4 linked regions of the Alligator mississippiensis genome follow. The protein of the gene in region 4 purifies or fractionates together with the protein of the main gene of each other region. This does not show direct contact. Links are inferred from orthologs where the notes say so. Each region holds a gene or a part of one and is shown on either strand. Other genes may lie near its edges.

Region 1 (6,845 bases), on a different chromosome or scaffold from region 4:
TAAAGCTGTGTGGAGGGAAAGGCTGAATGACTGGTTGCTCTGCACTGTGCTGATGTATTTGAGGGTGGGAGCACCCAGTATGCAGGGGTTTGCGTGAGCTTGTCCGCTTATTCTGGGCTACAGCCCTCACACCACAGGGCTGAGGACCAGCAGGCATATGCATACGCCTCTAGGGGATATGATCACTTCCTCTGCAGCTGTGCAGGGCTACTTCTCCTGAGATCCCCTGGGCTGTGATAAAACAACCCCTGAAGAAGTACTCAGAAAACACGGCTTTTTCGTTTTGACAGTTTCCTGCGCTGTTGCCTAGAATTGTGTTTCCATCCTACCAAGCTGCCTCCGCTCACACGAGCTAGAAGAAATTGCTTTACCATCTGTTCATCTCTGAGCCCTGACTCACTATTTTTATTTTGGTGTCGCCAAGCAATTGCAAGAGCCCCAACACGCCGCCAGCACAAACTGCTCTGCCACCAGCCTCTAGGAAAAACAAATCTAGCCTTAATGCCTCGCAGCACATGGGCCTTGGTAGCAACTTGCAAGGGCGGGGAGGGCGACATAGACTTCACAGTGATCTCAGCCCTCAGGCAGGCAGGAAACACAAGCCATTAAAAAGGGAACTAAAGTGGAGCACAAAAGAAGTAAAATATCTCCTGATGGTGCATGGCCCACAAGGCACCTGGGTGCTGAAGGTGGCAGTGATGGAGAAAGGTCTCTTCACGCCTCTGGCCACTTTGGCACCTGAACGAGGACTGGAAAACGGTCTCTCTCTGATTCCAGTGAAACTCCAAATCCACCTCGCCATGTGATAGACGGCTTGTGCCTGATCTTACAAAATGGGACCGGCTGCTGCTTTCTCCCCTGCTCTCTTCCTGCCCTTTCCCATCCACACTTTAGAGTGCATCACCTGCCATGCTCCCAATACTACCCTCTACTCTGCAAATAGATTTTTTTTACCCTATTCCCTTAGACCGCACCCACTGTTTATTCTTTTCTTTCCAATGATGCTCTTTCTCTACCCACCCAACCCACCCATACACTGCTCCCTGTTGAGCTCCTAGGTGGTACCCCACAACCCTCTGCAGCCCCTGGGAAAGGCCGATCCCATGAATTTCCATGCTGCACAGATCTTTGAATGGGGAAAAGCCTGTATTAGTGTTGTTTTAAAACTCCAGCACAACTCTGGCCAGATGAAAGACATTTTGTTCTAACCTTGCCTGTCATTGCTGCCAAATATATTCCAAACACAGCTCTCTGGTCATAAATTACTGTAGTTAGCAACACTCCAGAAGGCTGTGATATATATTTAAAACCGACAATGCAAATGAAATGGCTGCAGTTTATATTATGGATGACTCATAATGAGGCCCCATTTTTAAAGGGATTCAGCCAGATCTTTTAGGCCACAAACATAACCTGCCTTTAACATCACACATTTTTCACCAACGCTAGAGGTGAAGCAGTGTTTGGAAGCCATGAGGAAAGGTATCTCAGCAATCCCTGAGGCAGGTAAGCTTGGAATACAATACAGCTCCTGTCCCAATATGATATGCTGGCACATGGCACAAACATACAGCTTTTGTTTATATGTAGGCCCCTAAGTAAAGGCCACATTGTTTCTGAGTTATCTATCCAGTGCTGAGAAAACTAATTAAATAAAAGCTTTTATTCCCTACATCTTGTTTCAGAGCCCACTGACCTCTTCTGAAGGACTCACTCTCACTTTCACTGGCTTAAATCAGGCCTATACAGTGATGTGTAACTGGGACTAAAGGGACCTTAAAGCAAATCCCTAGGGACATGGTCTAATGTCATCGCTGGCTTTGCTCCAGACTGGTCTTGTGTTAAAGACTTTGGGCCAGACTGTTTATGGGCTGGCTGGAAGCTAAGGGCCTTCATATGAGGGTGTCTCCCAAATACTGTCAGACTTACTGCCTTTCTGACCCTGCCTAGAAAAATCACCTGAGGCAGCTTTCCTTCATCCAGATTTTAGCTATTCAATGCCACATCTCTACTAGCAGGCAAGGTTATTTGGGTAGATGTGATATCTTCTTTTGCAAAAAATGGTCTTTGCAAGCAAGCTTTCAGGAACAAACACCTTTCTTCAGGCATCGGGAGACTCTACTGGTGTCATATGTTCCCCAAGGTAGAAAAGTGCTTGTGCCTGAAAGCTTGCAAAGAACATTTTTTCCAACTATTTAGTTGATCTAATAAAAGATATCCCACCTACCCAAAGAACCTTGCCTGCCTATGTCCTTAGACCAACGTGGCTACAACCAACAACCCTGAAATAGCTCTACTGGGGCCCCTGCTGCCAGTCATGCTAATATAGCTGTTGTGGCAGCAGCGCCATACTGTAGCCCAGTCTAGGCTGGACCAGCTAACTGTGTTCATCTAAACAGCACGCTACAGCAATAGTGTTAACTAGGATGAGGTGAGCAGGGCACCACCCCCAGGCGCCAACTATGAGAGGCTGCCAAAATCCATCCACCTCCCCTTCTGGGAGTCCTTGCCTTGACAGGGGAAGCCCCTAGGCGGCCCCTGCTGGGCCATGGGAGCTGGGCAGGGCAGCACTTCACCCATCAACATATCTAGGGGGTGGGGGGCGAATGGGACAGGTGGAATGGTTCTCCCCTGACCCTGGGGAGCCTTTGGCAAAGCAGCCCCAGCCCTACTCCCAACATGTATCAGGGTTGGGGTGGGTGGGGGGAAGCAAATAGGACACCCGGATCTGCTGGAGGAAGCCTGGCCACAGCAGAGCTCGCACTGCTGACACTGAGAATCTGCAGCGCTAGCCCAGGCAGGTGTGACCTCCCTTCCCCTTGCCCGTGCCATAGGCACCCCACCCCCCACCTGCCGCCATCTGTGTGGCCAGCATACCCTCACCCTCCACCCCGCACCGCCCGCCCCAGGCGTTCAGCGAGCTTGCTATGCCACTGCACTACATCCCTGATGGTCAGAGCTGGCCATGTTGTGCAGCCCCACGGTGGCCAAACTATCCTCCTTCATTTTGATGGTAGAGGTTTATTTCTTCCCCCCTGGCTCTCCCTCCCTGCATGCCTATAGCAAAGCCATGATGGGTGTGAGTGATCTCAGATGAGCCACGCTTGGCTTTGTATCCCACTCCCCTCCCACCTCTAAAAGCAAGAGGCATGTTGACATCTCCTTCATCTAGCAGAGAAAGCAGGTTGGGAGATCAAGTGTGGCTTGCCACAGAAAGCTCTTGCCCTGCTCCCAAGAGGGGGCCTGGATGACTACATGATCTCTGGGCAGCCCTCCATCCCTGCTTCTCTACGACTCTACACCCAGAGACGGCTCGTGCTAACCTCCCCTGCGGTTGCTAGTGCCTCACTTTCCTTCTCCCTCCGTAAGGGGCTGCTCTGATGCTCCTACCCCACACCCCTCACGAGGAACTAGGGAACGCTTGCACCGGGGACCACAAGGCTGCGGATTAGAATGCTACCCGCATCCCGACCTATCCCGCGGCGGTTTACAAAATACAAGCACCTAATTGGCTGCAGTCTACCTTCCACCGCCCCGCCCCACCCCACCCCATTGGTGTAACAGGGCGCGGCGACGAGAGCGGCTAACACCGCGGTGCATTATGGGGGCCGCAGTCCCTTCCGTGCGGGGTGGGGCGGGGGCAGGCTCGCCAAATGTCCCCCGAGAGTCCGTGGACTACAACTCCCAGCAGGCCAAGCGGAGGGACGAGCTGCCCTTGCCCTTTCCCCCCTGCCCTGCCCATCCTGCCGCTTGTCCCCATGGGAGCTGTGGTTCGGGGCGCCTGCCACTTCCCGCGCCTTGCTAGAGCTTCCGCGGGCGGAGCGGACTCGCTTTCCCAGCTTGCCCCGCGCGGACGGTGGCCGCCAAGGGCGCTGAGGGGCAGGGGCCGCCCCGGAAGGAACGCGACCGTGGCGCGGAGTGGTTGGGCTCGAGCTCCGCGGAGGTACGCGGGGCTGCCGTTGGGCTCGCGCGGGCGGGGGGCAGGCACCAGGGCACGGCCGTTGTCCACCCCCCGTTGTGCAAGGGGGCGGGGCGGGGCGATGCGGCGCGGAGCGGCCCGCGGAAGGGCAGATGCGGGGGCAGGGCAGCCCTGTGCGCGCGTGCGCAGTGTTGCGAGGTGCGCGATCATTAGCCTCTGCGTAGGATCATTGGAGCTCTCGTATGTTCAGTGGTAGTAAAAGTGCGCGAAATGTAGGGTAATTGTTGAGGCAGCAAATGCAAATCCGAAGTCGCTCTCAGGGAGTCTTAGATGACACCTGGGTTTGCTGTCAGCCCTAGCCTCCAAATAAAGAAATGCTTCGACTTGAAGTCCTTGCTGACTCACCGGCGACTTGCCGTGAGCAATAGGAAGTCGAGAAGAAGGCTTATTTGCATAGTTATTTGCATATTTTTGCAGCGGACAATAGTTTTTCAGCAAATACGATCGTTTTGAGCTTCCGATACAACAATTTCATATTTAAGACCTGGCGATGCTGTGTGCACAACAGCATCACCCTCCTTAGCCCACCTCCTCCTTGTGGCAGGGAGGGGTGGGCTGTGGGCCTCTCATGCCCAGGTGTGTGCACGTGTGTGCCTGGGTGCACAGGCAAGGGTGTGCATGGGCGTGTGGTTGTGAGAGACCCTGCGTGTCCGCCCAGCCCCTCCCCTCATTGCAGATGGGTCTCATTGCTGAGGGGGTCTGGGCACTTAGCTTCTTTGCACTTAGCCCAGTGGTTCCCAAACTGTGGGTCATTATGCCAGATGGGGTTGCGAAATCAGGGTTACGGGGGTGGGCGGCTCTGGGTTGGGAGTGAGGGGTCATGCTGAGCAAATGGGGCCATAAATGGGTTCATGCTGAGGAAAAGTTTGGGAAGTATCTCCAGAAAGCTTTACGTATCTCTGTTTCCCCTGGCATAATGAGGGCCAGGCAAGCACAGCAGCCGCCCCTAGCACTCGCTTTGTGGGGGTGGGGGGTTCCTCCTCCCTTCTTCCCAGCAAGGCAGAGCTGGGGAGCACTGTGCCCAGCAGTGTTTCAAGAGGGGGAGAAGGGTGGAGTGACGCCCCCTTCCCCTGGGAGGCTTCACCAAAGGGGGTTCAGCCCTGCCCGTGGGGCTAGGGGGTGAATGGGGCCCTGGGAGCTCATGCCCCTGCCCACAAATCGGTGGCAGCAGCGCAAGCTCCTGTTCCTAGGGGATGGGTAGCTGCCTCAAGTGAGGAGAGCCCCAGCACGTCATACTGCCCCCCATCTGCCCAGCAGTCAGCATCATTCTTCCCCCCCCCCCCCCCCCCCCCCCCCCTTAGGCCAAATGAGCGGCCTGTGGTCCATCCATGGGCTGGGTATCAGACCCAGCACGTGCAGTGCCTGCTTCGGCCAGTCTCGGACCTGCATTGCACACACTGCATGTGGTGTGGTCCTAGGACCAGCCATGCAACATAAGGTCCAAACCAGCCAGAGTGGGCATCAAATGTGGCATCAGATGTGGCACTCATCCCAGGCCCTGTGTTTGTGGCTGGTTCAGTGCTTGGTGTGTGTGGGTCAACTGCAAGTCCCAGGGGCAGCATGGGGGGTGGAAGGGGCAGCTGATGATACTTCACAGTCCATCTATGGCTCCCAGGCCATATCTTTGACACCCCATAATTAGTCCATAACAGTGATTCTCAAGCAGGGTGCTGCAGCATCCTGAGATGTTTTGAGAGTCCTTTGAGGGTGCCATGGGGTGCCACGCAATGGTAGCACTGTTAGGTGTGCAAACACAGTTCACAAGATAAACTTGAGGATTCCAATTTGAAACCTCCAACATTAAAAATGTTCTGACCTGTTGTGAAATTATTCTTTGCAGCTGAATAATTGCTCTTTGATCTTTCCTGTAGTCAAAACACAAGTGAAAGCTAAGAGCCAGAGTTTTCCAAGGGGAGAGGGGGGCGGGCCTTGGGCCTAACGAGGGATGCCTTGTGTCTAAGAAGGCGGAGAACTACTGGTCTCTAAGCTGCAACGCTACCCTGTGTTCTGGCTGCCAGTGTGGGAGAGCAGATTGTGTGTCCATCCCTGGCTGCAGGGTGGTACCTCTGCCAGGATCCTCCTCTCTATTATGCTGATAGTACCCATCTGATGTCCATGACTTCCTTCTAGGGTAGTCCTTTGCTCAGTGGACTATAGGCTTCCTATCTGCTGACTGGCAAGGGCTTACAGTAGTGTGTATTGCAAATGCCAGCGTGTGGTGAATTGGTCATTGTGTGTTCATTCTGGACACCAGAGTGGTTTTATTGTGGTGTGAATGCCAAGGTAAATTATTTCAGAATAAACCATGACTTGTGTTTGCATAGTTATATGGCCACCTTCACTAAGCTTTACAGTGTTAGCGTAGCTGTTGTCCAGTCTCTGCTCTTTCCCCTTCTGTACTCAGTATGGTGATAAAAGGCTCATTGCCCAAGTGTGGAGTGACTAACTCTTGGACCCCTGTGCAGGTCACAAGTGATCCAGCAGAACCCTGTTAGCTGAGACCAGGATGGAAGAGTCTGACGGGGACCTATCCATTCAGAGAGGTGCCGTCCTAGCTGAGTTGTACCATATTCGGATCACCACAACGAATTTGTGAGTCTGTCTGGGGAGTAGGGGTCACTGCTCGAGCACGATGTTCTCCAGAATTGAAAAGGTTCCCAGGGTCCCAACACAGGGTCCCAAAACAGGGACTGTTTTGTTACCAGTCCTGGAGTGTTAGGCAATTTAATTCACCAAAATGTAGTCAACTATCACCCTGGCATCAGTATGAAAGCAGGCTATATACAGGTAGACTTACTGCCACCCAGTCGGCCACCTGGTTCTGAGGGATTGTTGTTATTTTTACAAAAGCCGTTGATCCATATGC
Region 2 (7,930 bases), on a different chromosome or scaffold from region 4:
AGCCTTAAGGCACTTCATTCCTCATGGTGAATCACTACATATAAACACAGCAAATGCCTACATGTCAGCATCTTCGTCCCTCCTGTTGGTTTCTGCTGAGAAAGAGGTTCCCAGGTTGAGATCTTCCTCTTCATTAATCCTAAATATTAACAAGAATATTACGTTACTAAATAATTCACTGACTATAAGCAACCCGACAAACGACTTCATTTAAATTCTTCAAAGCACAATGCTTGAAGCACTTCACCTTCCTTCTTCAATACTGAAAGAGTCCTGCGTGCTGCCAACTCTCTAGCATTAAAGGAAGAGTCATTTCAGACTTCTCAGACACTCACCTGTCTTTCCCTCGTTCTTTCAGCTTTTTCATGTCCACCATCCCACCTGTCTTTATCTTAAAAGGGTCATCCTACAAAAAGCAGAAACAATTCAAAGGCATGAAATATGTCCCTTAATCTATACCAGCCCCAAAGTTACTTTCTGGAAAACCCTCTTCTCTGAGCATCTGGTAAAAATGCCTAAAATTCCCTCCATTAGGCTGCTATATCCTACTAGCCTTTTATGATGGCCAGTTGCTACCCAAAACTAAGTTTTCCAAACGATCTATTGTACAAAGTAGATGCTTTCCCACAGGTATTTATCAGCAGTAAGGTAACAGAAATATTCACAACTTACCACCAATGTTGTCTCTTCTTGCATTTTCTCCCCTACAAGCAAGGCCACAGCACTAGCAAAGCACACAAAAAAGAAAACTAAGATTCACTGAGTGAAAAAACCCTGCTCTTGCATTATCATTCATTATAAATACCACATTAATTTTTTTTAGTATTTTCCAACATCTACTTGAAGGTCTCAAACTGTTTTGCTGATATTCAATATTTAAAACATATATCATCCATCCAATTTAGGGAGCTCTGAGCCCCATTTTCCACACAGAAAAACTGAGGCAAAGCATGATTAACTGACATAAAAGGTCACAAAGCGAGTCAGCGTGAGGAACAGAATTCAACACAGAGCAAACCTTGATTCTCAGTACCCTGGCATAACCTAACAAGCCTCCTTCCTTAGATCACATGGATGATAGCAAGTGAGACTCATTTTAAAGACTAGTTTTCCAATTCCCTGTTTATAATCTATTACACGTGTTACAAAGTGATGTTTAAGACATGAGAAACTGATCCACACATCATAACATATGGTGATATGACACAACTCTGAGAGAGAAATCTGACCAGAAGAATCATGGGGGAGGGCAAATCCACACATTCATTAACACACCATAATTACGGTGCATTAAGTTTAGTACCTCTAATGACAGGTACTAACTTAATGCACCATTTTCAGCTCTACTGTGCATTAGCCCAGATGAACATTTTTTGTGATGTTAATGTGCATTAAACTAAATCTACTCTGCATTAGCACACTTTTTCCATGATGCGATAATGCGCAGTAGAATTAGTCCAATGCGCATTAAGCATCTCAAGTAGATGCACCCATCGTTAACTAACTTTAAGGTCTTTCAGTTTTAAAGTAGGCCCAAACTCTTCATGGTTTTGGGCTGCAGCTCTACAGGGAACCAGTATTCATGAACATGGTTTACATACGACTGCAGCTGTGCCCAGTACCAACTTTTACAGGTCTTTGGACCGTCAAGAGGCCTTCTCCTCTCCCAGGCCCAGTTCTTGGGGCCACAGCGACGTCCTTCAGCGCCGGGGAGTACGGACGACAGGGAGGCCAACTCACAGCCACAAGGAAGTCTCTGACCCAACATGAGCTGGCGTGTGTTTGCTGAGACACTCACCTCACCCCATTGGGCCGCCTCCTCAGGCTCTGCACTTCCTTCGCTTCCTCGAGCTTCAGCCTGAAGGAAAAACGTTACCTTTGTGAGCTGGTTGGGGCTCCTCTGCGCCCACTCCCCAGCGCACAGACCACTCTCACGTCAAGCATTGGAAAAGGGGGGGTTATTGCCCTGTGTAGCCCTCACACTCCTCTGTCGTGTGCCATACTACAAGTTGTATTTATTTTGATACTAAAGTTTCTAGGATTGTGATGGGGGCTTTACAGGATACGGGAGGGAGGGACAGACTGAAAGTCCTTGTTCCTTTTGGAGAAACATCATTTCCTGTAACTCCACGGAACTCTCCCTGACCCCCGCGCGGCCCCTCATCGCTTCTACCCTCAGCTTTTTCTCTGTAAAACAATTGCAGCTGTGCACCATTGACTCTTTTCCAGAGGAAAAATGGAAAATAGCTCACGCTGTTGGGATACAGCTCAGCCCGTGGCACAGTGGGTGCACAGAGGTGCACGTGCACCCCTGACAGGCCGCGCTCCCCGCTTCGGTGACAGGCGGGGAGGCAGGTGCGAGCGCCGGGCGGGCAGCGGGAGCGCTGGATGAAGTGCCGCGGCCACCTCCCGGTCGGTGCAATCAGCGAGATTGGCTGCGGAGGACCCCCGCCCTTGGTCAGCGAGATCGGACACGGGGAATCGGCAGCAGGGGGGACCCCAGTCGCTAACTAGTCGCTGGGGGGGCACGTGCCCCCCCAACTACGGTGGCACCAGCCGCCCGTGCCGTGGCGCACACACAGGGGGGCTCTGCGTGTGCGCCAGCACGTACACAGGCGGCTCCAGCGTTGCCAAATCTGAAACGATCACATTGGGAGCACACGCCGGGAAAGCACGCGAGTCAATCGTCCTGTTCACTTATCCGGGTCACTGCGAGTCCCAGCGAGCGAGGCCGACGCGGAGGCAAGCAGCTCTAGGCCGGCGCTGGCGGCAAACCCCCAGCTCGGCTGAACGCGGGTCTGGCGCCCGCACCCCCGCAAGGACAGTGCCACAGTCCGCTCACACGGCCCCTCCTCCTCTCGCCCCGCACCCACCGGACCTCCTCGGTGACATGCTGGTCCTCCTCGTCCTCCTCGGAGTCCGCGCGCCGCCGGAACACCCGCCCCGCCGGCATCGCGGCCCGGGCCTGCGGCTCGGCTCCCCGGGTGCCCTGCGCTTCCGGCGCGCTGCGATGACGCAGTGGGCGCGATGACTACGCGGTGCGTGCCGAAGCCGCGGGCGTGCCCTTCGTGGCGCGCTGCGCCACTCCGCCCAGGTCTGACTCGCTGTTTCTCGGCTCCTGTCCGGCGCGTCTGCAAGGGCTGCGCAGTCTGCTCCGGCAGCGTCTCCCCTGGCCCGGGCCGAGTCCGTGTGGACGCTGCCCCTTGCTGGGGGTCCACGTGTGGTCCCTCGCAACCGATTGTCCCCTAGGAAAAGATGCTGTCCACGGGGGGTGGCTCCCAAAGGTAGCCACAAGTCACCCCGCATTGGTGCTAGATGAGTAATGCAGCTGCATTCATTGGTGACGTGGCGGGGGGGCACGTGCCCCCCCGAGCGTGGCAGTGCACCCTTGCACGTGCCCGTCGTGTCCCCCAGCCTCCGGCGCACGCGGCATTTGTGCATTTATATTGTAAATAGCAATCATATTGATTGGGAAGCACTTCTTTGGGGTGACTTTGGACGTTTGGAAGGGCTCTGGGTTGGGCTTGTTGTTGGCTGGAGTCTCGGCCGCTTTCTTAAAGAAAGTGTCCGAGGCGGTTGGGGCAGGCGTTGTGCAGGGAGACGGGCGACGCAGCCACTGTGTTCGTGGCGTGGCGTCGGATCGAGTCGAAACAGGTCAGGAAGTCGAAACGGGCGTCAATTTATAAACCTTGTAAATGCCGCCGGGTCGTTGGAGCTCGACACGTCTTAAGTCGAGGACGGCCTGCAATGAAACGCTACATCAGTTACCCTTTACGAAACGTAATAAAAAAACCATAACAATACAATTGTCCGAAAAAGTGAAAGGATTTAGAAGAGTTGAAGCAGAGGCTCGGGGACCTGCTGCCTTGCCCTAGGAGCCCCGTTGCTCCAGGCGTTTAAACTGGATTGGACCCAATAGCAAACATGCTGCAGGGAGCAATCCAGCACCCGCGAGCACAGATCTTTTGTTTGCTCGCGTGATTCTGCGAGTCGGCTTTTCTTTTAAAATTACTCGCGGATTCTCTTAATAAGCGTTTCCAAATTGCATTTTAATGCCGACAAACCAAATTCATCTCTTAAATGAATAAGCGTTTCCAAATCACATTTTGTTAATGCCGACAAACCAAATTCTGCACCCCCATTTATCACGTGACTTCAAACCCACCGTGGATGCCCTGCAGAGAAGCTGCTGCCGTGTTTGGTGTGTTTGTGTGCAACACCCTGGGTTGTTTGCCGGGTGGAAGAATATTTTCCAAGGGATGCGGTGTAGCAATTATGCCGCGTCTGTTAGCCTCTCTCTGACTCGGTTTCGGCATCTGTAGATCAGGGATAATTCCTATCGCACGCAGGAGTTACTGTCAGTAAAAAAAAAATTGTGAGCCTTATGGGAAGGATGCAGTAGCAGCACAGAGCATTAGGTTGTTACCAAATCACCCCATTTTCAAGATTTTATTTTCTCAGCCCAAATGTCCTATATTCAATAAGGAGCAACTTCTGACTTGACTGAGGCCAAAAAGAGCTCTGCTATTGACTCTGATGGAACCTGCATTTGTCCCCAAGTGCTCTGAGGCTGTGAAGTTGGTGGTGTTTATTTGTACATCACAAGTTATTTGTGTCGGCAATCTTGCATTACAGCTAATGGGGGGAAAAGTGTGCATTATGCTGCTGGCTTCTTATGAGCACTTCAACAAGAAGCAAGGAGCAGGTGTTTACAAATATTCCTCACTGAGAACTTCCTGTATAATCTGCAAAGGACGAGTGGCTTGCATTGCTGGACAGATTCTTTTCCCTTCCGGCTTGTATAACAACCTCCTGGCATCAGATGTGATTTTGCAGGGCCAGTAAATGTTGCAGGATGCAGATTTAGCCACTGGATGGGGGACTTTGCTAATTAGTCATCTTGGCTACCAATTGGCTGAGATCCCAATATAGATGTATAGAAACTCCCCCAGTACAGCTTTGGTGCATGGGTGCCGTTATGCCCTGGTTCGTGTAAGTAGATTCTTGAAAACACGTGAAGGATCCGGGCCTGTGCAATGACATTGCAACATGAGATGTCTCCAGATGGGTGCCCACGGGCCTTTATGGTTCGCTCTGCGGATGAGAAATACTAGGTATGATTAATTATTATGTTATCAACATTTTAAGCAACTATCAACCAAGAGCTTGGGAAACAGATTTGGGTTGGGGTTTTTTGGGATGGTCTAGTGCATAACAAAGATCAATAGCCTTCCCCCTGTGCCTGCCCTTTTACACCTTGGAGAGAGCATAGCTTTTAGCACAGAACAGCGACAACAGCCCAGAGGGAGGAAGAGTAAAGCTGAGGTCTGTGTAAGGACAAAGAATAGTTGCTAAAAGGGCTGCCAAGCCGTGGAAATCTCTGCAGCCCTGTCAAAGGCTGGAGCCAGGCTGCAAAACTGCTGCACTTGCATTCTGTACCCGGGCACTAGTATGCGGCATATATTCTCCAGCCTTTGGAAGAAGCAAGGAGCTATATTTCTCCTCCTGTTATTATTTGCATTACAGTGGTAGCTGGAGGCACCAGTCAGGAAGTTGGGATGCGCTGTGCTAGCTCTAGACCACAGGCGTACAGGATGGCCTGAGCATCTTTGCTTTGCAGTAAAGGAGTAACTAGACTGAGCTGTCACGTGGGTGCTGAACGTGCCCTTGGTTCCTGCGTGGTCTGCGCCTCATCCCCTAGACTGGAGTTCGCTAGTTTGAGGATCGTTTCTTCTGGTAAAACAATATGCTGTCAACTCCATCTGTAGTGTTCCCCGTGACTTACTACAGCCGTGTTAACCTCCCTTCACGGTCCGTCCCCATCCTTTCTTAATCAGCCCAGAGCCAGTATGTCAGGTGCTTGCCTTGCCAACGCTCTCCGCTGTCGGGTCGATGCCAGCAGGCTCTGCGGCGCTCTGCGCCCAGCTCCTCGCTGCGTGCAGTGCTGCCCTGCGCGTAGCCATGCCCTGTCCTACCCAGCCTGCTCCTGGGCTCCATTTGGGGGGGACATCTGAGCGGTGGGGACCAAGGTGTGAATGCCCCATGTGGGGTCCAGCTCCGATGCGTGCGGTGACCATCCTCTCTGCAGCCAGCGCTGGTCTGGGGCTCCTGTCTGGACCGCCCCACCCAGCCTGGGCCGCTCTGCTGCGCCTTTCCGTGTCTCCTGGCAGTCCACGCAGGGGTATGGAAACCTCGTGGCCAGGGAGCTGGCCAGCTCCCTTCAGCCCAGCATGCACCATGGGAGCTGCCCCAGGGGACCGCCTGTGCAGCTCGCTGCCAGGGGCGTGGAGGGCCCCCATCCTTTGCCTCTGCATGCCCACTGCCTCCTTCCCCCTCCAGGCCTGGCTCGTCCTTCTCTCCCCTCCCTGGCCCAGCCCCTGGCTCCTCCCATGCCGCCAAGCTGCAGCTCCTAGGCGCTGGCTTCCCTCCTCCCTCCGGCAGCAGGTAACTGGCCTCCCTCCCTGCCCCTCCATGCTGCTTCTGGGGCTGAGCCCCTTCCCTGGCCGCGGTGCTGGCCTCCCCATCCCCTTCCCCAGGCGGAGCAGGCACGCTGGGGCCTAGCCAAGGGACCGAAGCCCCGGCCTTTCGTAGCCGGCCACCCAGGGAGCTGGTGGGGGGCATCCCTCCTTCCAGGGCCAGCCGCCCTGTGGCTCCAGGGAGCAGCCAGGCAGCCAAGCCTGGGGGTCGGCTTCAGAGGGGCTGGGGAGGGAGCTGCTCTCGGTGCCCGCCGTGCTCCTCCAGGCACCCCGCAATTAAGCACAGGGTGTCGGTGACTTGTCAAAGCCACGTCCCTGCCTGGCGCAGGGGGAGAGGCGGTGGGGAGACGCCCCCTGCCTGGGATGGGGAGGCCGGGGTCTCTGGAGCGGCTGCGTGACTCCAGACAGGACTGACCTCGCTGGGGTAGGGGGCCCAGAGGCTTGCTCTGGTTGTTTGGGGGGGGTCCGCATGCTGCAGGGGGTAGGGTCTCCAGGGTGTGCAGCCCACGGGGCCCCCTGTGTGACGGCGCCGCGTTCCCTGAAGGGGGGAGGCAGGAGAGGCATCACGGCGGGGTTGCAGAGGTTTGGGGGCTTGCTACTACTTGGGGATGAGGCACAAGGGTGGGGTCAGGATGTCGTCTCCGCTGGAGGTGCAGATCGGGGGAGTTTGATGACAAGGGGTTGCTTTTGCATTCTCCACTGTCCCGTGGGAAGGGTGTGTCCGTGTCATCGGGTGCGAAGGGTCTTGGGGTGACAAAGCAGTTACCCCCACTCTGAAAACCAGCCTGGGAGCCCTGCGCGGTCGCTACCTTGGCACAGGTATGATGCAGCCCCGGTTTCCTCAATTCTTGAGATTCCAGAGCTGCCAGAAGAAAGCCCCGGGACCCGAGCATTTCCAGCACATGTAGGATTCCCCCCCAAAACCCTGGTGCCTCCAGCAGTTAATTGTGTTGTTGATCTTTCCAATCTTGGCGCTTAGCACTGTGATCTTTGCTCTGAGCTGAGTCCCTTGGCAAGATAATAGGCTTTTATCTTAAAAGGTATATTAAGAACCACATTCATTAAATATTGCTGATCAGTAAGTGGGAAACAAGAACACAGAAGCAGCCAGCTTGAAAGCTCAGCCTGTGAAGCAGGGGGTGGGGGGATGATGCAGCACCAGCTGTTGGGAAAATGATGAGTAATGCTTGCTGCTTCCACCAGGAAAGGCAACCGATTGCTTGGCTGGAACCACGCTGCCTGGGGTTTGCTACCGCTGGTATTTCGGTGCTTGGTGGTCCTTACATGCTGATGAACTCCTTCTCTGTCTTATTTAGCAGAAATCCAGGAACTTGCATCCTCTCCTAAGCAACGATGAGCACCTGTGTCTAAGTGATGTCCTTTGATAATTATTATGGCATAATTGTTGAAGAAAGAACTGCGCTGGCCTCAAAGTACAGGTATCAGAGTTTGTT
Region 3 (7,272 bases), on a different chromosome or scaffold from region 4:
GACTTGGGGCCGTGGTGTGCTCTGGGGTACGTGGAGGGGTCTCTGCTAATGTCCCAATGCCCCCAGAGGGTGAGCCCCCCTGGGTCAGGTCAAAGTCTGGTGTGACCCTGCAGATGGCCGGGGGGGGGGGGGGGGGGGAGGGGGCAGATCTGCCCAGCCAGACCCCCTGTAGGGCAGGTGGGGGCAAGCCTGGGGGCTGAGGGAGGCAATTAGAGCCTGTCCTGACCCCTCCAACCAGCCCTGGCATCCGCCCCACCTTCAACCGCAGCCCACCCAAGACCCCCCCACCCCTAGCACAGGAGGCACCAGCCCCACTCAACAGACCCCCCACCAGCGGCCCACAAGACACTTACCACCCCACATCCACCCAGCCTTAGCACCCAACCACGCGAAACCCCACCCGTCTCACACCCACCCAAGACCCCTCCCCACCCTAGCTCTCGCCTACCCCCTCCCATCCTCCCACCCACGAGAGACCCCCCCATCCCAGCACCCACCAGAGACCCCCCACCCCTAACCACCATCCACCTGAAACCTCTCCCCACCCCAGCACTCACCCGGGACCCCACCCCACCCCTAGCCCCCACCCATCTTAGACCCCTTCTCACTCCAGCATCCACCCAAGACCCTCCCCACCCCAGCACCCACCCGAGACCCCTCCCCAACTCCCAGCCCTCCCCTCCACACCCACCTGAGACCCTACCTACCCCCGTCACCCACCCGAGACCCCCCCCCTCCCCGGGGGGCAGCGACCCCAGCCCGGGCCGCTGTGACTCAGCCCCGCCGCCATTGGCCGGCCGGTGCGCTGCCCGCTGTTCCGATTGGGCGGTGGGAACCCCGCCCCGGGCCACCATTGGCCGGCGCGGCGCTATAAGAGCGCGGCCGCCCCGTCGGGGCTCCGGGGCGCTGCGCCGCGCGGGGGGAGGTCGCGCGTGGGAGCTGCTCGCCATGCGGGAGCGGAGGGCGGCGGCGGCCGCCGTGGCGCGCTGTAAGCTGGTGCTGGTGGGCGACGTGCAGTGCGGCAAGACGGCCATGCTGCAGGTGCTGGCCAAGGACTGCTACCCCGAGGTGAGCCGGGTCGCGCGTGGGCGGCCCATGGGGGGACGGCGCCCGCCTCCGTGGCCTCGGCCGGCCGGGGCTGACCCCTCTTTCCCCCTCCCCTGCCTGCAGACATACGTGCCCACGGTCTTTGAGAACTACACGGCCTGCCTGGAGGGCGACGAGACACGCGTGGAGCTCAGCCTGTGGGACACCTCCGGTACGGGGGGGGGGGATACGCGGGGGGGGTTGACATGCGTGTCTGGGGGGGGGCGCGTCTCTGTTCTGTCTGCTCCTCCTCCCCCCGTGTGGCTCTGCCACTGCAGAGCTGCGGGCATGTCCCGGGGGCAATTGGAGGCTCTGGGGGGTTGGTAGGGGGTGCAGGGCAGCCCTGCCACCCCTGTAGCCCCCCAATCCGGAGCACCCCTGCAGCCCCCCCATCCCGGTTGCTATGGTGATGTGCTGGGCTGGCGCAGGAGCCGGCGCTGTTTGCTATTCTGAGCACGGAGCGTCTGGGCTGCAAAGCCTTGGATGCGCTGGGGGGGCGGGGGGCTGGGGAGGGGCCCCGGGCAGCCCCCACCCCCGCATCCCAGCCCGGGGGCTGTGCTGGGGCCCCCCTCTGCTTGGGGGTGCAACATCCTTTCCTTTGTTCCCTTTATCTGTAACTGTACCCCCCCCCCCCACTCTGCAGCTGCCACCCTGCTGCCCCCCGGGTGGGCACCCACTGCCCCCCTCCCTGGGCCGTGTCAAGCTTGGTGCTGCAAGGGGAGGGAGCAGGGGGTGGTGGTTATATAAATGGCACAGGAGCCATTTCCCAAAAATCTGCAGGGAGGCAGGAGGGAACTTGGCTGCTGGGCACGAGCTGGCCCTGGGGCCTGGCGGGGGCAACAGGCCAGCCCACAGCACCCCCCGGTGACCCCTGCCTTCTCCCACAGGGTCCCCCTACTACGACAACGTGCGCCCCCTCTGCTACAGCGACTCGGACGCTGTCCTGCTCTGCTTTGACATCAGCCGCCCCGAGACCCTGGACAGCGCCCTCAAGAAGGTGATACTCGCCCCCCCCTCCCACCCTGGGGCAGGGGGGTCTTGGGGCTGACCCCCAAGAGGGGCAGAAGTGCCCTCTGGCCAGGCTCTGTGTCCAGCTGATTACCCTGTGGGTTTGGCCTGATTTTAAAGGGATGCTTAGTGTCCCCCTACCCTGGGCTGTTTGGTGCCATGGGACTGGGCTGGAATGGGGCTGAAGGACTACCTTGCCCCCGCTCCCCCCCCCCCCCCCCATTTTGGCGCTGCCTGGGGCGGGGGGCATAGGGCAGGGTGCCTCTGCATTAGCCACTTGCTGTTCCCTTCTAGCATGGGGGGCTGGTCCTGCTGCTAGCTGGATGTGACACCTACCCCCTCCATGGTCTCATCTGCAGAGGTGGAGGGGTCTGTTCTGAAACCCCCTCCCCAGGGCTCCAGTGGGACCAGGCTCAGCACCCAGGAATGCCCCTACACCCCTGGAGCTGGGTGCAGCCCCCTCCCCAGCCAGGGCAGCACTGGGGTGGTACCAGGGAGAGCTTGGGGCTGTTGGCCTAGGGCCCCCTGACCCTCCTCTCCCCTCCATGGTCCCTGCAGTGGAAGACAGAAATCCTGGACTACTGCCCCAGCACCCGGGTGCTGCTGATCGGCTGTAAGACAGATCTGCGAACCGATCTGAGCACTCTCTTGGAGCTGTCCCACCAGAAGCAGGCTCCTGTCTCCTACGAGCAGGTGAGTACCAGCGTCCTGCTTTCTTATCCCAGCTCCAGCCGTAGCCTAGAAGGACCTGGCTCTGGCTTGAGCAGTCTGGGGCGTAGCATTTGGGACCTTCCCCTCCTGGTGCCTGCCAGGCTCCCAGGCCTCCAGCTGCCCCCTCATCTCTCTCTTTGCTCGGGTTGCAGGGCTGTGCCGTGGCCAAGCAATTGGGAGCTGAGAGCTACCTGGAGTGCTCTGCCTTCACCTCGGAGAAAAGCGTCCATAGCATCTTCCGCACAGCCTCTGGCGTCTGCCTGAGCAAGGGCAGCCCCCCGCCCCCCAAGAGCCCTGCACGCAGCCTCTCCAAACGCTTGCTGCACCTGCCCAGCCGCTCCGAACTCATCTCCTCCACCTTCAAGAAGGAAAAGGCGAAAAGCTGCTCTGTCATGTGAAAGGGGGGCCTGCTTCCAGCCCCTGGACACTCTCCAGCCCCCACGATGGGGAGGGGGGGAGGGCTGCTCCAGCAGGGGGGAGCTGGGAGCTGGGTTATATCCCGCCAGAGGAGCGGGCCCCATGGTGAGGCCTTCCCCTGCAGAGGGGATTTGGGGCCTGGAGGCTTCCCCGGCTGTAGCAACCCCAGAATCGGCCCAGCTCATCGCAATGCTTCCCACACAGGCTCCGCGCACGTTCTCCGGGGGACGGGGAGAGGGGCTGCCGGGGCCCTGGGGTGACCCTGGGGCTGCTCCAGGCTGCTTGGCACAGACGGGGCTTGGTTGATGGCGGCTCCTGCACCCCCGGAGCCAGGACAACTTGCCACAGACTCATTGTTTCCCCTCTAACGCCCAGTCGCTGTCCAGCCGTGCCCTGTCGTCTCCATCCGCTGCTGTCCCTGGCCCCCGCGCTGCCTGGCACCGGCCGTTCGCCTTGATGTTACCTGGCCCCGGGGCAGGGGCAGCTCCGCCTTTGCCTGCGGGGGGGGGGGGGGGGGGGATGGGACTGTGGGGTGGGGGTGGTTTTTGTTTTATAGACCTTTTGTCTGGGGGGGTGACTCTGTTCCATGTTCAGTGTTATTAAAAAGCTTATTTATTATGGAAAATACAGTGGATAGCAGCAGCCTGTGTCTAGTGCCTCTTGTCTGTGGAGGGCGAGCAGCCTTTGGAGCAGGGGTGGGTTGTGGAGGTGCAGGGAGGTGACCTGGGCGGGGAGGAGCGTCGGTGGCAGAGCCGGGAGCAAGACTCCCGGGTGCGGTGCAGGGGTACCCCGCGCGGCCCGCTCCAGCCTGCAAAGGGTTAACCCCAGCGCGGAGCCCGGCCCGCGACTACATTTCCCGGCGAGCCTCGCGGCCGCTCTCGCCTTCCCAGCGGGCCGCGCGGCGCTGGCTGGGCCAATGGGGCCGCCTTCTGGTCTGTTGCCGCGGCGCCTGCTGGGAGCTGTAGGCGCCGAGCCAATGGAGTCGGTTCCGGCCAGGCCACGCAGCGCCTCCTGGGAGCTGTCGGCGCCGGGGCAATGGACTCGCCTTCCCGGCATGCCGCGCGGCGGGGCCCGGTTCCGGAGTGAGCCCGCTAAGATGGCGGCGGCGGCGCAGGGGCCCGAGGCCTGGTGACGCCGGCGGCGGTGAGTGCGGTGGGACGCCCGGGCCCCCTCCCCGCCTCCCCCAGCTCGCTTCTCGGTTCCCCGGGGGGCCGCCCGCCTGCTGGGGCCCCGCGCCCTGCTCCCCCACGATGCCCGCGGGGGCCGGGCGGGAGCCTCCCCCTGGCGCCGGGGACAGCGGGGTCTCGCCTCCGGCCCTGACAGCGTCTCGGCCCCGGCAGATGGCGGGGGAGCTGGTGGAGAAGAAGGAGCGGGACCCGTCCCCGGCCAAGGAGGATCGCAAGCGCTCGCGCTCCCCGGACCGAGACCGGGAGCGCGACAGGAAGAGCCCCCCGGGCAAGGACAGGAAGCGGCACCGGTCCCGGGAGCGGCGGCGGGGCAGCCGATCGCGGTCCCGCTCCAGGTCCAAGTCGGCTGACAGGTGCGGGGCAGGGGCAGGGGCAGCCCTGTGCCCCGGGGAGGGGTGGGGGTGCAGCCAGCTCTGGGGCGCGGGGGGACGCGGGCGGGCGGGCGGGCCCCGGTGTTTGCGGCCGCTGCCACGGGGCTTTGCGCTCGCAGGGAGCGGCGACACAAAGACCGGGAGCGCGACAGGAACAAGAAGGACCGCGACCGGGAGAAGGATGGGCACCGGCGGGACAAGGACCGCAAGCGCTCCAGGTCGGTCGTGATGGGGCGGGAGCGCGGGACGAGTGGCTGGAGGCTCCCTCCCTCCCTGCCTGGCCGTGTGGGCGGGCGGGCGGGGAAGGCGAGGGGCCTTGGAGCGGGTGGTTGGGATCCCGCCAGCGAGGAGCTGGAGGGGGCTGAGCTGGGGCCCGTGCCTGGTGTCCCCCGCGCAGGAGCTTGTCCCCGAGCCGAGGCAAAGACTCCAAGTTTCGGAAGGACAGAGACTCCCGCAGGGCGGCGGAGGAGGAGGAGGATGCGGCGCTGAGGAAGGAGAAGGTGGGGTGTCAGGAAGGGGCAGGCACAGCCTGGCACTGGGTCCGCCTGGCGCGGTGCGGGGCTGGCGCGCCTCTCGGGCTCTGACGGCCCCGTCCTGTGTTTGCAGGCCCAGCCTCTGTCGCTGGAGGAGCTGCTGGCCAAGAAGAAGGCTGAAGAGGAGGCAGAGGCCAAGGTGAGGATGAGCAATGCCGTATGCTGTTGAGGGGTTGCCTCCTTTCCTCCCTGTTGCTGGGCCTGGTCTGCACTATTGCCAAGACAGAAAGCTGCTACCCTCTGGGTCCCTGGCTCTGCGCTGGGCAGTGCGGTACGGCAGGCAGCCCATCGTGCCTGGGGTTGTGCGAGAGGATGGGAGCATGGAGGGCTGCTGCGCTGCTGGGCCGTGCTCACTGCCTCCTCTGTCCTCCAGCCCAAGTTTCTCTCCAAAGCCGAGCGGGAGGCTGAGGCACTGAAGCGGCGCCAGCAAGAAGTGGAGGAGCGGCAGCGGCTGATCGAGGAGGAGAGGAAGAAGAGGAAGCAGTTCCAGGATATGGGGAGGAAGATGCTGGGTGAGTGCCTGTCGGGGGTTGTGTGGCTCCTACCCAGTCCTAGGAGGGCCCTCGGTGCTGCCCTCGAGTACGGGGTACGCTGAGTCCCCGTTTGCCTGCCCCACAGAGGACCCGCAGGAGCGGGAGCGCCGAGAGCGGCGGGAGCGCATGGAGCGCGAGACCAATGGCAATGAGGACGAAGAGGGGCGGCAGAAGATCCGCGAGGAAAAGGACAAGAGCAAGGAGCTGCACGCCATCAAGGTACTCGGCTCCCCCGGTCATGCTGCTACCCCTGGGCAGGGAGTCTATATCTCCTGTGGATTGGGAGCCAGGATGCCTCAGTTCCCTTGCAGCTCTGGGGCCGGGTGGGGGCTGAAGGAATGGAGCTGGGGGCTGGCAGTCCCTTTCTCTTAGGTTCCCGGGGCTGGTTGCATCTGCCGGGTGGGGGCTGATGGCTATGCTGCCCGCAGGAGCGGTACCTGGGTGGTGTGAAGAAGCGGAGACGCACTCGGCACCTGAACGACCGCAAGTTTGTCTTCGAGTGGGACGCATCTGAGGATACGTCCATCGACTACAACCCACTGTGAGTGTGGCCCAGAGCCGTGGCTGACTGGTGCCGTGGGGTCACCTGCTCAGGGCAGAGGAGGTCTTCCCGTGTTGTCCCCCCCTCCCCTCCCTACCTGGCTGTGGAGCACCAGAGCAGCCTGAGGTGCCGCCCTAGCTGCCCTGACCCCATCGCCTCCTGTTGTGCAGGTACAAGGAGCGGCACCAGGTGCAGCTGTTGGGCCGCGGCTTCATTGCCGGCATCGACCTGAAGCAGCAGAAGCGAGAGCAGTCGCGCTTCTACGGGGACTTGATGGAGAAGCGGCGGACACTGGAGGAGAAGGAGCAGGAGGAGTGAGTGGCTGCTATGGTGAAGGGGGTGGGCGTTCTCGAGCCTGGCTCCAGGGTTGGGAGGTTCTGACACCAGACGTGTTTTGGGGGCGCTGGTTACGGTGTGGAGCCTTGGGTCTGGTCCACGGCTGCAGGGTTCCCAGGGCCGGTCACAGGCACTAGCTGCACTACAAGGGCGCAGGGATGGGGCACGAGGTCAAGTGGTTTGGGTGCAGGTGTGAGGCCTCCATGGGGCTAGAGCTGAGGTGCTTCTGGGATGTCTGAGGTGAGGCTGGCTACATTCTTCCCCACGTTTGCCCAGCAAGGGTGGCAGGTGGCTTCTGCCCAGCAGAGCACACGGGAGACCTGATTACCGGTATTCCCTCCCCGCAGGGCCCGGTTGCGCAAGCTGCGGAAGAAGGAAGCCAAGCAGCGCTGGGATGACCGGCACTGGTCGCAGAAGAAGCTGGATGAAATGACGGACAGAGATTGGCGCATCTTCCGCGAGGACTACAGCATCACCACCAAGGGCGGCAAGATCCCCAACCCCATCCGCTCCTGGAAGGACTCCTCCTTGCCTCCCCACATCTTAGAG
Region 4 (7,573 bases):
CTATTCAAACAAAGCTGGAGAACAGTGAAGAAGGGGCCTTCATGCTGGATTTGTCAACAAGACAGACATCCTGGCTGCAACCTTAATGGCGAGAGACAAAAAAAAAAAAAAAAAAGGAATAGCGAATATATATTATATATATATATATATATAAATATATATATACACACACACAAGAAACAAAACGCATCCTTGCACTGCTGCTATATGCTGGAGATGAGATGAATTACAAACAGCAACATCAATAACAGCAAAACCAACCGCCTCTTTTAGCCTTTGCGGAGAAAGTGATGAATTTGACTGGACTGATAAGAAAAATCATGATAATAATAATCTTATTAATACAACAAACCGCCATTTTGCATGTTCCATTTAAAGGATACACAGATCATGGGGTCATTTGTTGCACACTGAATGGAAAGGAAAGATGCTTTGCAACAAAGCAAGAAACAAACAAACAAACAAAAGAAACCAAGCGGAAACAAAACTATTCCCCACCTAAGGAAAGAAGAGAGAGAACCATTGAACTGTTTTGATTCTTTCATGATTATTTTTTGCATTTGGGATGTGTGGCAACCACCTCTCTTCCCCATTCCATGCTGGTTCTATTGCATCATTTTTCAGTTGTTATGCTCCTCCCCAACCTCCCTTCCCTTTCCTCTGTCCCTTTATCCGAGCTCTTTTTCCGAAGGTATTTAAGAATGGATCTAATTTGAAACAAAACAAAAACAAATATATGTATATGGTTTTTCATTTATAAAGATGCAGCCTGTAAGGGTTTCATATGGATGTGCTTTTAAGTTATGTATATTATATATAACAAGGGGGGTGGGGAACTGAGGGGTGGGAAACAATATTAAAATAATTAAACAGTGCTGGTAAATATGATGATGACATTTTTAAGTTATAATTATTTGATTGACTGTGGTTGATGTATTACAAGAATCTTAGATCACACTGACATCCCGCAGGAAGAGGATGGGGAACATTTCATTAACCACTGCTCGCTGTGGGGTGGAGAGGAATGTTGCATTTGTCACTGAGTGATCAGCTCTGTGGCAGGAGGAATTGATGTAGTGATACAGTATATGTTTGTAATTGGTTGGTTGGTGACAAAGGAGTTCTTGGTAATGTAAAGAGGCGAGGGCCTGGGAAAGAAGGAATGGACAGTTATAACCACAGCCCAGTTAGCATCACCAAAATGCACCAGTCAGCAATGTCTCACCAGCCCCCCCAACAAAAAGATGCTTCCCACCTTTAGGAGTCCTTGACACCCCCCCCGATCTGGAGTCCCCACAGCAGTAGAGAGATCATGTCATACTCCTCAGCGATGTCTTAAAAACCAGGACCAAAGTCTGAGTTACAGATCCATTCCCACACCCTACACCTACTGAAGCAGGACACTTGCATAGCTGCATTTCTGAACCCTGGTCTTGATCTAGCTCAAGTGAAGTTGAAGTGGTGTGTTTCAGATAAGCAAGAGGGTATTTCTGCTCTGCTTGGCTTTGAAGCAGGCTGCACACCTGGTTTCTGCTAAGGTGACCATAGGCGTTATGACAGCTCTCATGAGGGGAGCTGATACACAGCAATCTCCATCCTTTACCTCTTTGGTACTGTTCTACCACAGCCTTGCCTAGAGTATACTCCTATCTGCTGGCAGTTGAGAAGGTGACTGTGTGTTACAAAGATGTGTGAGTGCAAAGCTTAGTAGATTAGCAAGGCTGAGTAGCCTTGTCCAGTCAGCCAACACTGAGAGGCAGTTGCTGATGATGCACCAGTGTCCAGTGAGGCTGCTTTCCTCTCTATTGGTCAGACTTTTGCACCTAGATGAAGGTTTCCATCACTGGTACACTTGGAATGGGGATTATGGGTGCCAGCTCAAGCCTCATATACTGTCAACCAAGCAGTTAGGGCAAACTCAGAACCAAAAAAAACAACAAAACAAAAAAAAATCAACTGATTTCCAGAGAAATTGTCCCAAGCTCCTCAAGTTACAGAAGGGCCCATAAATATTGCACCATTTTTGCCTTTTTTCACAGACCACAAACATAAAGAGACCTTACACCAGGTAGAAAACTCTTCTAAATGATTCTTGTGATGGGATCAGAGGGTTGTATTGAAAAGGGATCAGTAGAATAATTAGGATTAAGTGGACGTACCCATCTGATCAATCTGCTGCCACAGCAGAGAACTTCGGGCCTCTGGTGGATCTTGGTCCTTCCATTTGCCTTCTACTATGTCCCCACAAAGTCTGTTCTCCTTTTGGCACATCAGTTTCTCCCATAAGCATTAATGGCATGAGCACAGCCTCCCTGATAAAAGAATTGATTCCTTTGCTTCTGCCAACAAAGTTTGTGTCAGATTTCCAATGAATCCAAATGTGTATTTTTTCTCCCAGGATTCTCCACCTTATCACCCGATGCTGCTTTAGGGAACTGTGCCCACCAACATCAAAAAGAGACTGAGCCTTTGCACAGCAACCCACATGTGAACTAGCTACATAAAGCACTTGTGCTTTTGGGAAGAGAAGCCAAACTCCAGGAGATCTGTTCCCACAGCTGTGCAAAATATTAGGCATGTTTCTCCCATTGGCATGCTAGGGTGTGTCCCAGCGCAATAGTTTTTTTCAATACATCCTGCATTTCAAACCAAAGAGCAGCTGGTGCAAACTTGAGACCACTGACTTTTGAATAAGAGGCTACTCAAACTCTTCGTGCCTGATTCTGGTCTCTCATGATGGTTTAAAATTTGGAGCAACTTCATGAGCATCAGTGGAGTTACACTGCTGTAAAACCTAAGTAGGAGAATTGCACTCAGCCCCTACATGTTCAGATTTTTAAAACTGAATCCAGTTCTCTGGATTCTTCAACCCAACGTATCTGATGGGTGACAATGAAAAAAGTGGGGGAAAAAAGTGGAGTCTTTTGCTCACCTGGCAAAGTATGGATTTTATATATACAGAATATTTATTCTTTGTGATCATATTTGAAGCCAGGTGCCCCTTGAAAGTTTTGGCTTTCTTCTGCCTTGTTCATTACTGTTGCTGATATTTAAGGTAGCTGATCACTCTTTTTCTTTCATCTGGGGGCCTTTCCATCGAAGGAGGTGGGAGACGTGAGTGCCTGTTCATACCTAGTCCCACAAGTTCATTCCAGAATTGGCCTGCAATTGCATGAGTACTAATAATAATAATAATATTTATTTTTATTTGAAAAGCACCTTACCAACCAACTGCAATGCTCTGCCATTCCTTCACTAATTCCCCTTTCCTCTTCCCTGGTTCCTCTTCTCTCCTCCACTCCCTTCAATCATATCCCTTTCAGTGCTTGGTGATGTATGCGTGTGTGCTCACTGTTCTTGTATTCAATAAAAGTGAAATAAATGTGTTTGATGCTGAACCAGCTTGTGACCTGAAGCTGACTTTTCTCTGAGCAAAGCAGTGGCAGTTACTACCCTTAGGAGCAGAGACTCCTCAGGGTGACAGTATGCCCAGAGGCAGCTGGGTCTCCCACAGCTGGCTGTGATGAGGACGCCGAGCAAGGACCATACATTGTGGGTTGGGCAGAGCTGCCCAGGTTCTCATCCAGGAGCCTACCTAGTGCAGAGATCCAGTTGAGAAGAGGAAGGATGGGAGGTCATGCTGTCCTGCCAAACTTCACCCACAAAATACGTTTCATAGATTCATAGGCTACGTTCCACCCTTGCAAGCCACCGAAAGGGAACCCTGCTCACAGCAGGCTGTAGATGTTCAGAGCATGAAAGTACGTGCTGTCCTGGTGTCTCTGCATTGCTGGGACCTACTCCTGAATACATGTCGGTCCTGTTAGGTGTTTGGGGGCTTGGTTTCTTTTTGATGGGGAATCTTCAAATGTCTATCATTTGTGGCACTGAAATGACGTGGGGATAAAGGCAGGCTGGGAGGCAGAGCTTGGATGGGAAATACTGGGGGAACTTGGAGAGGAGGAAGAGTCTGCCATGAACTGCCATCCATGTGGGTGTCCCTGAAGGGTTTCTTTGTGGGAGAAGGGCAAGTCTTGTCCCTAATGCTCCCCTGGCTGAGGACAAGGACATGGTGGGAAACCCTAAGAGGATTTATAACCCAGGCAAGGATACATCATCAATTATACACCACAATCACGTTGAAGCATTATTGCGGAGACGGTTGCATGTTCTTGAGGGAAAGCAATGCCCACAAACAGGCATTCAGTGGCCCCATGAAACGAGCGGGGGCTCCCACGCTGCCTCCTCGGGGACGGGCGCACTGAGCCCTTGCAATTCACCCGGGGCTGACAGCTTCGCTAACGGAGCAGCGCGGGGCTGGGGGGCAAAGAGTAACATGGACTCGCCCTTTCAGCCCCATTCCTCCGGGCCGTCGTGGACAACATTGCCAGCGCGCCCGGGGCAGGCTGTGACGCGCCCCCGGTGGCGAGGCCCGGGCCACCGCCGTGTCGCCGGGAGACCGAGCCCGGCCCTTCCCGCGCGGCCGCAGGAGCCGCCCGGTGCTTTCGCGGCCGGACCCGCCGGAAGTCGCCGGCTCAGCGGAAGCCGGGGGCTCGCTTCCGTGCGTGAGTGCGTGCGGAGCCGGGCATGGAGGCGGAGCGGGCGCGGCGGCTGTTCGCGGAGGGCGCGGCAGTGGTGGTGCTGGGGGTGCCGGAGGGGACGCAGCTCGGCGTGGACTACAAGACGTGGAGCGTGGGGCCCCGCTTCCGCGGCATTAAGATGATCCCCCCGGGCGTCCACTTCTTCCACTACAGCTCCGTGGACCGCCGCGACGCCGGCGCCTCGGGGCCGCGCACCGGCTTCTTCCTCAGCCTGCGGCGCCGCGACCTGCGCGTGCTGCGCTGGGACCCGGCCACGGAGCTGGTCGACCTGAGCCCGGCGCCCGCGGAGCAGAGCGAGGCGATCCGGGCCAACCTGCTGGAGATGGACCCGTTCCTGGGCCCCTACCCCTACGACACGCTCAAGAAGTGGGTGTCGCTCAGCAGCTGCATCAGCGAGGCGGTGATGCAGACGCTGCAGCCCGAGAGCGGCCAGGTCTGCGCCTTCTCCGAGGTGCTGCCGGTGCTGGCGGGGACGCACGCCAAGGACCGGGCTGAGCAGAACCGGCCGCCCTACGACACCGAGTGCAAGAGCTATGCCGAGGGCCTGGCCCGGCTGCCCGAGATGAAGCCCAAAGCGGGCACCGAGATTCGGTTCACGGAGGTGCCGACGCAGATGTACCCCGACGGCGCGACCCCTGAGGAAATCACCAGGCACAACATGGATCTCAGCTACGCTCTGGAAACCGTCATAAACAAGCGATACTCCAGCAAACCTGAGGATGTGCTGGGTGAGTGAGAGAGTTTCCCGTAACTAACTCTTTGCCAGCATGAGCAGCGGAGGGGGGGGGGATGTCCCCCTGTACCTGTTGTGCCAGGAACTCAGCCTGTGGCTTTGTCGGGGAATCACTGGGCCCAGGGGCTGGCACTCTTTCAAAGCGGTGGCAGCAGGCTGGGTGCTTGCAAACTGTGCCAGTCCCCTGTCCCTGCTGCTGCAATCCCTCCTTGCTCTGCGCCCCCACACGCTTACTGTCTGCTGCTGAAAGCCATGAAAAATGCCAGTGAGGAGCCGGCAGACAAGGTTCTTTGGGTGAATGTGATATCTTTTATTAGACCAACTTAAATAGTTGGAAAACTTTTTATCAGTGAGCTTTCGGGTTTAAAAACTCTTCTTCAGGCTGAGGAAGCACCTGCAGTTTGTATGCACTCTTCCTGGATGGAAGGAATAGTAAAGAGGCCAGAGGCTGATCTGCAGGCAAGACAGATAGTCAATGAAAATGTAAATTGAGGAGTCAGTGGGGGGGGGAATGAATGAATGTAGCAGGTAAATAGTAGAGAGGCGTTTGGGGAGTCGGAAGTCAAGTAGGTTATAATGTGTCATAAATCCAATGTTTATATTTAGTCTGTGCTTTTTGTAAATAGGAGGTTGATGAAGTAAAGTTCACAGGTTCATCTGTGAAAAGTGTTTTGTAAATTCCCTTTGAGGATTAGAACCGAGGAGCCGCAAATTCAGCAGTGAGGGCACAGAGCAGGAAGCTATAAGCAGCTATCTAAATGTGGTCTCTTTAAATCACCACTTTAATGCAGTCCATTTTCATCTGCATAATAGCTTGAATATGGTAGCTTTTCATCTCTTGTGTTCAAACAGCAGAGGCTGAAAGACTTGGGAATAAGTGATGCTTGTGCACTGCTGGTGACCTCTTCTGGTAGGATTTGGGGGTTGTGCAGAAAGCTTTGAGTAAATACTGTACAGAACAATGTATCATACATTATTTAGCGACACATTAGAAATTGCCAGCTGGTGTCCCTCAGTGGCAGTGCTTTAATTACCTGCTAATTCCAGTGGAAACAATGATAAATCCTTGTTGTATCAGAAGTTGTTTGAATATTCTTTCCTTGGTGGCATTGTATGAGGACTGTGAAACCAAGCAGGGACGGCATTGTTATCCTTTGGATAAATCCCTAAATGATGAAATATCAATTTTCATTTCTACCTAGGAGAACTTTTACTATCTTTGCAATCTCCTATGCCTAGCGAAGGGTGCCTGTGCCCAGAAGCTTGCAAATAAAGAATTTTTTTTGCAAATATCTAGTTGGTCTAATAAAAGATACCACCTCTGCCACAAATTTTGATTCCTTTTGCCTCTAGACCAATATGGCTACAACCTGGATACCTCCCTAGATGGTTGATATTTCATATCAATTTCTTGTTTCTTCTTTTTTCCTGTTAATTTTCTGCCTTTATGAATCATAGTGTGGAATGTTCTAGGACAGGGGCTGCTGATCTGTGGCCTGTGAAGCTGTGGCTGTGGCGGAGGAACAGCTCTGCTCACACAGCACTGCAGTAGGGCACTGAGGACTTTGGTGAGGGGGAGCTTTCCCTGTGCCACAGCAGGATGGCAGGGAAAAGTGGTAGATGCAGCCAGGTCCTAGTGCCAGCCCAGCTTAGCCCTGAACTGGGTCACTCTGGCTCTTTGCCAGCAAATGTTGGCAACTCCTATTCTAAAAAAAAGCTAGTTTACTTGCAAGTTAATTGTTTCTCGTAAAGCACTGGATAGTGTTAGATGTTGATAATTCTCACAAACAAGACGAGTCTAAACATTGGGCAATTTTTAATTTTGATCAGGAGTAGTACACAGTATACTGCTCACGTTAGTTATGCTGTACATATTAGTTATCGTTTTCTTGTTTTGATTGTCTGGCTCATCTGGCGGTACCCACACCATATTGTAGTTACAGTAGCAGCCTCGTTTGTCCTGTTGCCCTCCTTGGAAGCACAGGCTTTGGAAAGCCAAGAGGATAGGGATCACAGGAGGATGTAATGCCTCCATTTTTGTAGTGTGATAATTGTAGGTAACAGCGTTTTATAACAATAAAACAGACAATACCATATCCAAGTGTCTGGAAGTCACTTCACAGCAACGTTACTCTCTGATTCTATTTGATGATAAAGTGGCTCTCCACAGTAAACGGCTGTGCTAAACATGTCCTTTTTTGATTGCAGTATGCTTGTTTCCTAGTCACATAACAAAGGA

What was found.
Region 1: the proteins of AAR2 (region 4) and TSSC4 purify together in Homo sapiens (affinity purification with mass spectrometry; 3 studies listed by BioGRID and IntAct, counting the BioPlex papers as one, with this or other methods). This does not show direct contact. The link is inferred for Alligator mississippiensis from reciprocal best matches to the Homo sapiens genes AAR2 and TSSC4.
Region 2: the proteins of AAR2 (region 4) and C12H9orf78 purify together in Homo sapiens (affinity purification with mass spectrometry; 3 studies listed by BioGRID and IntAct, with this or other methods). This does not show direct contact. The link is inferred for Alligator mississippiensis from reciprocal best matches to the Homo sapiens genes AAR2 and C9orf78.
Region 3: the proteins of AAR2 (region 4) and DDX23 purify together in Homo sapiens (affinity purification with mass spectrometry; 3 studies listed by BioGRID and IntAct, counting the BioPlex papers as one, with this or other methods). This does not show direct contact. The link is inferred for Alligator mississippiensis from reciprocal best matches to the Homo sapiens genes AAR2 and DDX23.

Annotation. Positions count from the first base shown.
Region 1 is NC_081825.1:188,812,356-188,819,200, forward strand, and holds the start of TSSC4 (U5 small nuclear ribonucleoprotein TSSC4), read left to right. Parts: upstream 1-3,838; 5' UTR 3,839-3,943; intron 3,944-6,444; 5' UTR 6,445-6,571; intron 6,572-6,845. UniProt on the Homo sapiens protein: Protein associated with the U5 snRNP, during its maturation and its post-splicing recycling and which is required for spliceosomal tri-snRNP complex assembly in the nucleus.
Region 2 is NC_081835.1:58,725,849-58,733,778, forward strand, and holds the start of C12H9orf78 (splicing factor C9orf78 homolog), read right to left. Parts: upstream 3,015-7,930; 5' UTR 2,954-3,014; coding exon 2,874-2,953; intron 1,859-2,873; coding exon 1,799-1,858; intron 725-1,798; coding exon 673-724; intron 407-672; coding exon 336-406; intron 140-335; coding exon 62-139; intron 1-61. UniProt on the Homo sapiens protein: Plays a role in pre-mRNA splicing by promoting usage of the upstream 3'-splice site at alternative NAGNAG splice sites; these are sites featuring alternative acceptor motifs separated by only a few nucleotides. May also modulate exon inclusion events.
Region 3 is NC_081838.1:6,588,234-6,595,505, reverse strand, and holds the start of DDX23 (probable ATP-dependent RNA helicase DDX23), read left to right. Parts: upstream 1-4,267; 5' UTR 4,268-4,365; intron 4,366-4,562; coding exon 4,563-4,762; intron 4,763-4,899; coding exon 4,900-4,998; intron 4,999-5,177; coding exon 5,178-5,280; intron 5,281-5,386; coding exon 5,387-5,452; intron 5,453-5,686; coding exon 5,687-5,825; intron 5,826-5,931; coding exon 5,932-6,065; intron 6,066-6,274; coding exon 6,275-6,387; intron 6,388-6,557; coding exon 6,558-6,701; intron 6,702-7,070; coding exon 7,071-7,272. Other genes in the region: RND1 (rho-related GTP-binding protein Rho6), read left to right, coding at 949-1,068, 1,171-1,258, 1,974-2,083, 2,653-2,787, 2,958-3,203. UniProt on the Homo sapiens protein: Involved in pre-mRNA splicing and its phosphorylated form (by SRPK2) is required for spliceosomal B complex formation.
Region 4 is NC_081832.1:22,956,658-22,964,230, forward strand, and holds the start of AAR2 (protein AAR2 homolog), read left to right. Parts: upstream 1-4,556; 5' UTR 4,557-4,587; coding exon 4,588-5,329; intron 5,330-7,573. UniProt on the Homo sapiens protein: Component of the U5 snRNP complex that is required for spliceosome assembly and for pre-mRNA splicing.